Mus musculus: one gene and its partner. The protein of the gene in region 1 binds, or shares a complex with, the protein of each later gene. Links are inferred from orthologs where the notes say so. Each region holds a gene or a part of one and is shown in the gene's direction. Other genes may lie near its edges.

Evidence for each region.
Region 2: Fnip1 (region 1) and Lamtor5 share a complex: the UniProt entries of both Homo sapiens proteins name them as parts of the lysosomal folliculin complex. The link is inferred for Mus musculus from reciprocal best matches to the Homo sapiens genes FNIP1 and LAMTOR5.

The regions. Positions count from the first base shown.
Region 1 is NC_000077.6:54,436,613-54,441,216, forward strand, and holds the start of Fnip1 (folliculin-interacting protein 1), read left to right. Parts: upstream 1-1,566; 5' UTR 1,567-1,684; coding exon 1,685-1,776; intron 1,777-1,782; exon of another isoform or gene 1,783-2,295; intron 2,296-3,018; exon of another isoform or gene 3,019-4,604. UniProt on the Homo sapiens protein: Binding partner of the GTPase-activating protein FLCN: involved in the cellular response to amino acid availability by regulating the non-canonical mTORC1 signaling cascade controlling the MiT/TFE factors TFEB and TFE3.
Region 2 is NC_000069.6:107,281,695-107,284,739, forward strand, and holds the end of Lamtor5 (ragulator complex protein LAMTOR5), read left to right. Parts: intron 1-214; coding exon 215-332; intron 333-1,940; coding exon 1,941-2,001; 3' UTR 2,002-2,388; downstream 2,389-3,045. UniProt on the Homo sapiens protein: As part of the Ragulator complex it is involved in amino acid sensing and activation of mTORC1, a signaling complex promoting cell growth in response to growth factors, energy levels, and amino acids.

The DNA.
Region 1 (4,604 bases):
CTTGGCTGCAAATTCTCGTTTTAGTTATCTATAATTAGTGCTTTTTAAATGTCTTGTGTACTGGAGCGGTGGAGACAGGAGAGTGAACTGGAGACTTCTCCCTCCTCCTCCAACACCTTCAGAAGGCAGCTCTGGAGATGAAGTGCTTGCTGTGTGAACAAGAAGACCTGCATTCCATTCCCAGAATCTACTTCAAGGATGGGCAAAGGAATGCAAGGTTGTGATTCTTGTGCTGTCAAAGAAGATGAAGCAGAAAGGTCATCCTACACTACTTGGTGAGCTCCAGGCCAGCAAGAGACCCTGTCTCAATAAATATAAAAAAGTCTTGTAACATGAGACTTTGTAACATGTTGTAACAGCTCAACATGCTGACCAGTGATAAATTATTAACGATATAAAAATATCCTGCTAATTTTTCTTTTATTCTTTTGTTTTGTTTTCTTGTTTTGTTTTTTCGAGACAGGATCTTTCTGTGTAGCCCTGGCTGTCCTGGAACTCACTCTGTAGACCAGGCTGACCTTGAACTCAGAAATCTGCCTGCCTCTGCCTCCCAAGTACTGGGATTAAAGACGTGTGCCACCACTGCCCGGCATTTTTTCTTTTTCCCATGTAAATAAGGGCTACTTATTTATTTTTTTTCAACTGCAGATCAGCTGACAACTTCTTAAAGATTTGGTTCCTATGTCTAGCTAAGTGAAATTCTCAAGCGTCTTTGTCTACCCTTGCAAACATACACCAGTATTTCCCCACATTCATCCACATTTCTCAGAGAACTTCATTCCACTGTACGAAATCCCTCATCCTGGTAAACGGATGACGAATTTGATCTGAACACTGATGGTTTGATAAGACTGGAAGGATGTTCGTGAGCTGTATTTTCCGTTTTGAGAGCAGTCTTGCCATTTGGTAACAATGTTACAGTTCCTCCTTTCCTCATACCCAGATATTAAAGATATACAGCTTTGTTTCATGGAAGTTCTGATTGTCTCTCTTAGACATTTTGCTAAACTTCTTGTTTGGTGATGAGGATCAAACCCAGGGCCTCTAACTACTGAGCTCTTTAACCGCAGTCTTTCAAATTCTAAATACTTAGCATAAAGGGTTAGATATTTTTAGATAGATGTCTTTTTTTTTTTTTTTTTTTTTTTTTTTTTTTTACGGCTGCTTGCCTCTCTTGGTTTTGCTTGTGATCTTTTTGGTTACCAAGGAGATCGAGCCTGAGCCCCCAGTCGCTAGATCTTCCTAGAGACTAAGTGCGGGCGTCAATGGAAACCGCACCTCAAGTCACAGACCTAGGTCTCCTCCTAGAGCCCTAGCAGTTTGGGAGGGTCAGAGGCGGGCCTGGGTCCCAGAGGCTTTCTCTTGCCACCCAGCCGCGCGCGCCCTCGCACGCCCCGCCCCGTGAGAGGCCGCGTGACGGACCCGTGAGCCAGCCAATGGCAGGCGGCCCCGCCTCCCCACCCCCACCCCGCCCCCCGCTCAGTTTGCTGCCACGTGATACGGCTCGTCGCCAGCCAATCGCCGCGACCTCAATCTCGCGCTCCGCCCCGCGCGCCGTGGCCGTTTGAAGTGACTAATTTCTGTCATATGACTGAGGCGCCCATGGGGGTGGCGGGGTGGCGGTAGGAGCGGGGGGCCTCCTGCGAGCTCCCAGCCGAGCGACCCCAGTCTTGCGGCGGCCAGCATGGCCCCCACCCTGTTCCAGAAGCTCTTCAGCAAGCGGAGCGGATTAGGCGCGCCGGGACGAGACGCCCGCGACCCGGACTGCGCGTTCAGGTGAGGCGTCGCGGGCCCCCGAGGGGTCGCGGCCTCGGGCGGGGCGTGCGGTCCCCTGCCCTCTTCGCTAGGCTGTTTATGCCCCGCCCGCGCCACGCGCCGCGTCCCCAGCCCCAGCACGGCGGCCTCGGGAGGCTGTCGGTCCGCACGCTGCCCGGGCTGCGACCTCACCGCAGGCCTCCGGGGCCCGGCCGGGAGCTGCTGTCTCCCTGTGATCCGCAGCCCTCGGGTGGCTTTGTGCAGACTGTCGCGCGTTCGGCCAACCTGCGGAGCACTGAGGAGGCTGGAGGAGCGAGTGGGCAGGCTGGCGGTCTGTCAGGCTTCTTGGAAACTAAAATTGGAGCTGTGCAGTTCTCTTGCCGAGCGACCTTAGTGTTATCGAAGGAGAAATGCGAAACCGAAGTGGTTAGGGTTACTACTGACCAGACTCGAGGAGGACTTGCGGTAGAACTTACTGTCGAATTTTCTTTCCCTTCTTACACCTGTTACTGAAAAGGAGTTTCTTGCAAATGGAAAACGGTAGCTGTGTGTGTGTGTGTGTGTGTGTGTGTGTGTGTTTGTTTGTGATTGCATGCTTTGTTTCTTTCTGATTGCAGTACCTGTTGCTGGTACAGTAACTTTTTAGAATTGTCAGATATATAGAAGCTTAGCTCAATGGTTAAATTCAGCCGTGGAATTGTATTTGAAGAAGATATTGTTTTGTCTTCCATAATGCGCTATGGAAACTTTCGCATGTAACTAGGCCAAATGTCACATATCAGACAAACTTGGCTGTATGGCCGAGAACTCAGTTGTACAGTAATAGTAAAAGGGAAACAGTGTCAAATTTTGCAGCAAGCCCAAGTATCAGATGACTGCACTACATAAGTCTTAGAGGCTTTAATATTTTTCAAATTATCCACGCTGTCAATAATACAGATCCCATCAGGAAACAATGTGTGAGATTGAATATCAAATGGCAAGTAATTTAACTGATATTTAATGGGAGAAAAAGGTCAGTTACCGTTTTGGAAACAAGCTTAACAAAAGAATTTTCATGGCAGTGGCTTTTCTTCGTAATGGGAAGTAAATGTCTTGTGCCGTAGTCATCTGACAGTTGTTTTTCCTTTGAAAAGCGAAAGTGCAGATAACACCAGATAATACACCGGGACACCTAGGAAAACCAGAGACCCGGGAAGCAGCCTCTGGAGAGAGATTTAAAAGATAACATTTGAATAGACCACTGTTTCTATTTCTGTGCAGAGACTGACTTTGGGTAACCAAGATTACAAGAGTCTCAATTTGTTAATGTGACCAAAATCTACTTTTTGAGTAAGTGTTCTATATGGTTGTGTAAGACTTTACTGCTGCCAAAGAACTTTCCCATCAGTTATCTCATTTCACAGTAACCTTGTGAGATAGAGCAAGTAGCAATGTAGAGATGACTTTATAATCCTTTTTCCAGCGTGGAAGCCCAATACCTGCAGTTCATCGTGAAAACTTGCTTTGAAAACAAGATGTGTACAAGTGTAATGTGAGAAAATGAGAATTCTGGATCACATACCTAGTGACTTGAGATCTAATTAATCCAGCTTTTAAAATTTCCTTGATATATAATTAAAATACAATAAAAGATGAATACACGGGGAAGGTTACTGTCCCATGAGGGCTGACAGACAAACACAGTTTATACTCAGCACTCCACTGAACCTTCACAACCATTCGTTCTGTCAGCTTGTGCTCCCTCCTTTTCCACAGTCCTTAACCCCCTTTCACCCAAGAACAATTTGGTCTGCTTTCTTTTGTTATATTTTGGCTTTTTGAACATTTCATATAAATGTGATTTTATGACTTCCATAGCCACATGTCTGGCTTCTTTTTACCCACAATAATGTTTATTGAGATGTATCTACGATGTTGCCTTTTTAGTAGTTCCATTCATCTTTTAAGTAGGTGATTTATTGTACAGATATAGCATACCTTTTGTTTTTGCTCTTGGGCTCTCTCGCTCTCTCTCTCTCCCTCTCTCTCATGTGTATTTATTCTTTTGCGTGTGTGCACGCGTGTGCTCGCTGAATTTGATGTTACTTGGACTGACCTTCCATCTTACTTATTGAGTCAGGGTCTTGTAGTCAAACCCAGAGGTTCCTATGATTCTGATCTTGCTACCCAGCTTGCTCTGGCAAACCATCTTGCTTTGCCTTAATGGACCTGGACTGACAAGTGACAGGGAATGCCCTCCTGGCATTTCTGGATTTCTGGGGATCTGAACTCCCAGTCCTCACACTTGCTGGGCGAGCACTTTAACCATTTGGTCATCTGTCCAACTCACAATTTGTTTATTCACTCCTCAGATAAAAGATACTTGAGCAATTCTTCTGTGAATATTTGTGTATAGATCTTTAATTAGAAATAATTTTTGTTTCTTCTGGGTATAGATACTGAGCAGTAGAGCTGCTGGCTCATGTGCAGAGTTTTATTTAATTTTTTAAAAAGTTCCCAAACTTCTTCAAACATACTTGTTTTATAGTTGCAGTAGCAATATATTAAGGTTACTTTTATAACAGATCTCTTCAGTATTTTAGATTACCCTTTAAAAAGTTAATACATTTTTATTGTGATAAGAAACATAACTATCTTAACCAATTAGACATTTAATTTAAATGTTATTTCTTGCTCTCTCTCTCTCTCTCTCTCTCTCTCTCTCTCTCTCTCTGTGTGTGTGTGTGTGTGTGTGTGTGTAGGATGTGTGAGGGGCGTACATGAGCCACAGTGTATTTGTGAAGGTCCGAGGGCAACCCTGTGAATGAATTCAACCTTTCCATGAATTCTGGGAATGATCACTAAGC
Region 2 (3,045 bases), on another chromosome or scaffold:
ATGTCGTTTACGACTTTGCTGATTTAAGAACAATTGCCAGGCTTTCTCACTAATGGACTCAGCTGAGTACCAGGTGAGAGAGATCCTTTCTTGTCAGTACTTAACCTAAAGGCAAAAAGGCCGTGAGCGGAGTTTCTTTTTCACAAATAATTCTGGAGGAGATACTAAACTATAGGTTTATATTAATTTTTAGACACTTCTCACTATTCTCTAGGCCGTGGTACCCTGTCGGATGAGCACGCTGGAGTCATATCTGTTCTAGCCCAGCAGGCAGCTAGGCTAACCTCTGACCCCACCGACATCCCTGTGGTATGTTTAGAATCAGATAATGGGTGAGTACATACCAGCACACCCCTTTCTTTTTGTTCTGAAAAACTTGATTGGGCTTTCCCCTGCATTCAGTGGTAGTTCATTAGTCAATGCACCACAGAGCCATTGGACATCCAGGCCTCATGAGAACAGAACTTCATTAAAATAAGAACTATCAGTTTGCCACTCCAATAAAGGAAAAACAGTAAAAACACAAAAAATGATTAGCTGCATAGAATTCCCTAAAGTAAGGTCTTAAAGATATTCCTAGATAAAGATCTTTATTCAGATGCTAAGTGATAAAAGGAAGAAAACAAAACTGTGGGGCTGGAGAAATGCCAGTGCTTAAGAGCCACAGTCCCGAGGATGAGAGCTTATATACTAGTACCCCAGCACCCACACAACAAACACCTGCAACCTCAGCCCTCAGTCAGGGGCGAGGGGGTGGGCAGAGATGGGAGGATTGTTGGAGCTGGCTGTCCTCCAGTGTAGCAGAGAAAATGAGGCTCAGGCTCAGGGATAAGACCACACATCAAAGGATAGTTGCACAGTAATAGAGGACACCCAGCACCTTCTTCTGACCTCCGTGCCTATACATAGGTGTGTGTACATGCACACACCTGTATGTGCACACCTGCACAGAGATAGAGTATGTGAACCTTTAAAAATGCATACTTTGGTCAGTTTGGGGCAAGGGAAAAAGAAGATATTAATATCGATATATGTATAAATATATACAAATTAAAATTAGAACCAGGAGCCAGCAAGATGGCTAAGCAAATAGACGTGCTTGCTGCCAAGTCTGATGACTGGAACTCCATACCTGGAACCCACATGACTGAGGAGACAAACACCCTGACGTTGTCATGCAAGCAGTGGCACACATACAGACCCCCAAAATAAGTAACATAAATAAGAATTAAGAGCTGGGGAGGCGGCTCAGTGGTTGAAAGCACATGGCACTCTCCCAGAGGACCTGTGTCAGTTCCCAGCACCCACATTTGGAAGTTCACAACCACTTATAACTCCAACTCCAGAGGAACCAACACCACTCGCTGGCCTTCTCAGGCACCAGTGTGTATAATGACACACACGGACAGACACATACATATATTTTTTAAAAATCTAATCTAAAAATTAGGACCAGGAAGGAGGCTAGGCTAGTGATAGCATGTGCAAGGCTCTAGATTCTAACTCCAACAATACCACCAAAACCTCCAGGAAAAAATAAAAATCAGAATCATGTTGAGTAGTAGGGTTAAGGATTACTTTTTAAAAATTTTTTTTAATTAAAAGGATTAATTTCTTTATGTTATAATTAGATTTGCCCACAATCCTCAACTGTTCATGCCCATCTGTGCTATTTATTTATTCATGTTTCTTAGCGGAAGACTTGGCTCTTGGTTTGAGAATGTAGTCCCCTTTCTGGGTGGGAAGTATGGAGAGGCTATGGCACTAGGGGTTGGTGACGGACACCTGTCAACAGGGACTGTTCATATTTGGTTTTGTATGAGAATATAGATAAATATGCTGTCATCTAAACATAAATATATTTAAACTAAATAAATTTAATCTTACACTGAGACACATGCATTAAGAGTTTGCTGAATATTTTCTTTTTGGCTTTTCAGGAACATTATGATCCAGAAACACGATGGCATCACAGTGGCTGTGCACAAAATGGCCTCTTGACATCTGATGTCAGCTCTCCAGTGGCCTCTCACCGGGATTCAGTCATGCCTGTCTCAGCTCATTTGTAAAACTATTAAAGTTCCAGAAATAGGCCATTCAGTTAATGTCCAATGTGGACTCCCTTATTTATATGACAGCCAGTTACCAAGACATCAGTTAGAGAGGAGCAATTGTTTGGGCTTTTGTCACTCTGCTCTTTGGTGACAGTCACTGTAGTCCAGGATCACAGCCCATCATGGCCTAGAACTATGTAGCCCAGGCTGACTTCAAATGTATGGTCTTCCTGCTTTAAACACATACATCCTGGAATTAAAGCATTTGTCACTAAGGTTTAGGTCACTTTGTATATAGAACTTCATTATGGCCAATAAACCTGTTCTGAGGAAAGTTTGGTTCATTTCTGGTCTTTTAAAATTCCTACTTAATGCTCACTTTTCTTTTTTCAGTTATCAAATTGTGGGTTTTTTGGTTTTTTTTTTTTTTTTTTTTTCTCTAAAAGATCTCTATCCCAAACTACTTGTTTCTCTTTCGGTGTCTTAAAATGTCTGTGTTCTTATGCAAGGGAAGATGGATCAAATATTTCCCTCAACCTAAGTGACAAAGGACATATCATTGAGTCCTTAGTAAGACCAGAAACTTATTTCTCATTATAAAATAGGATAGGTACTCCTGGTTGTTGTGTGTAACCAAAGCCTAGGGGCTAGCATGGTCACCATCAGAACTTAAGAACTTAACTGACAGAAGGCGTGTGTGCTTTGCTTTGTTTGGTTGGTTGGTTGATTTTTCTGAGACAGGGTTTCTCTGTGTAGCCCTGGCTGTCCTGGAATTTGGTAGACCACGTTAGCCTCAAACTCAGAGATCTGCCTATCTCTGCCTCCCAAGTGCTAGGAATAAAGATGTGCGCCACCACTACCCGACATGGACAGACTACATTTTTACCATCATCCAGACCATCGAAGAAATAGGCATGTTGGATAAAAAAAATTTTTATCATTTGAGATTAATAGTGGTCTTCAGCCTTCAGTGATTCTCAAGAGATACTGC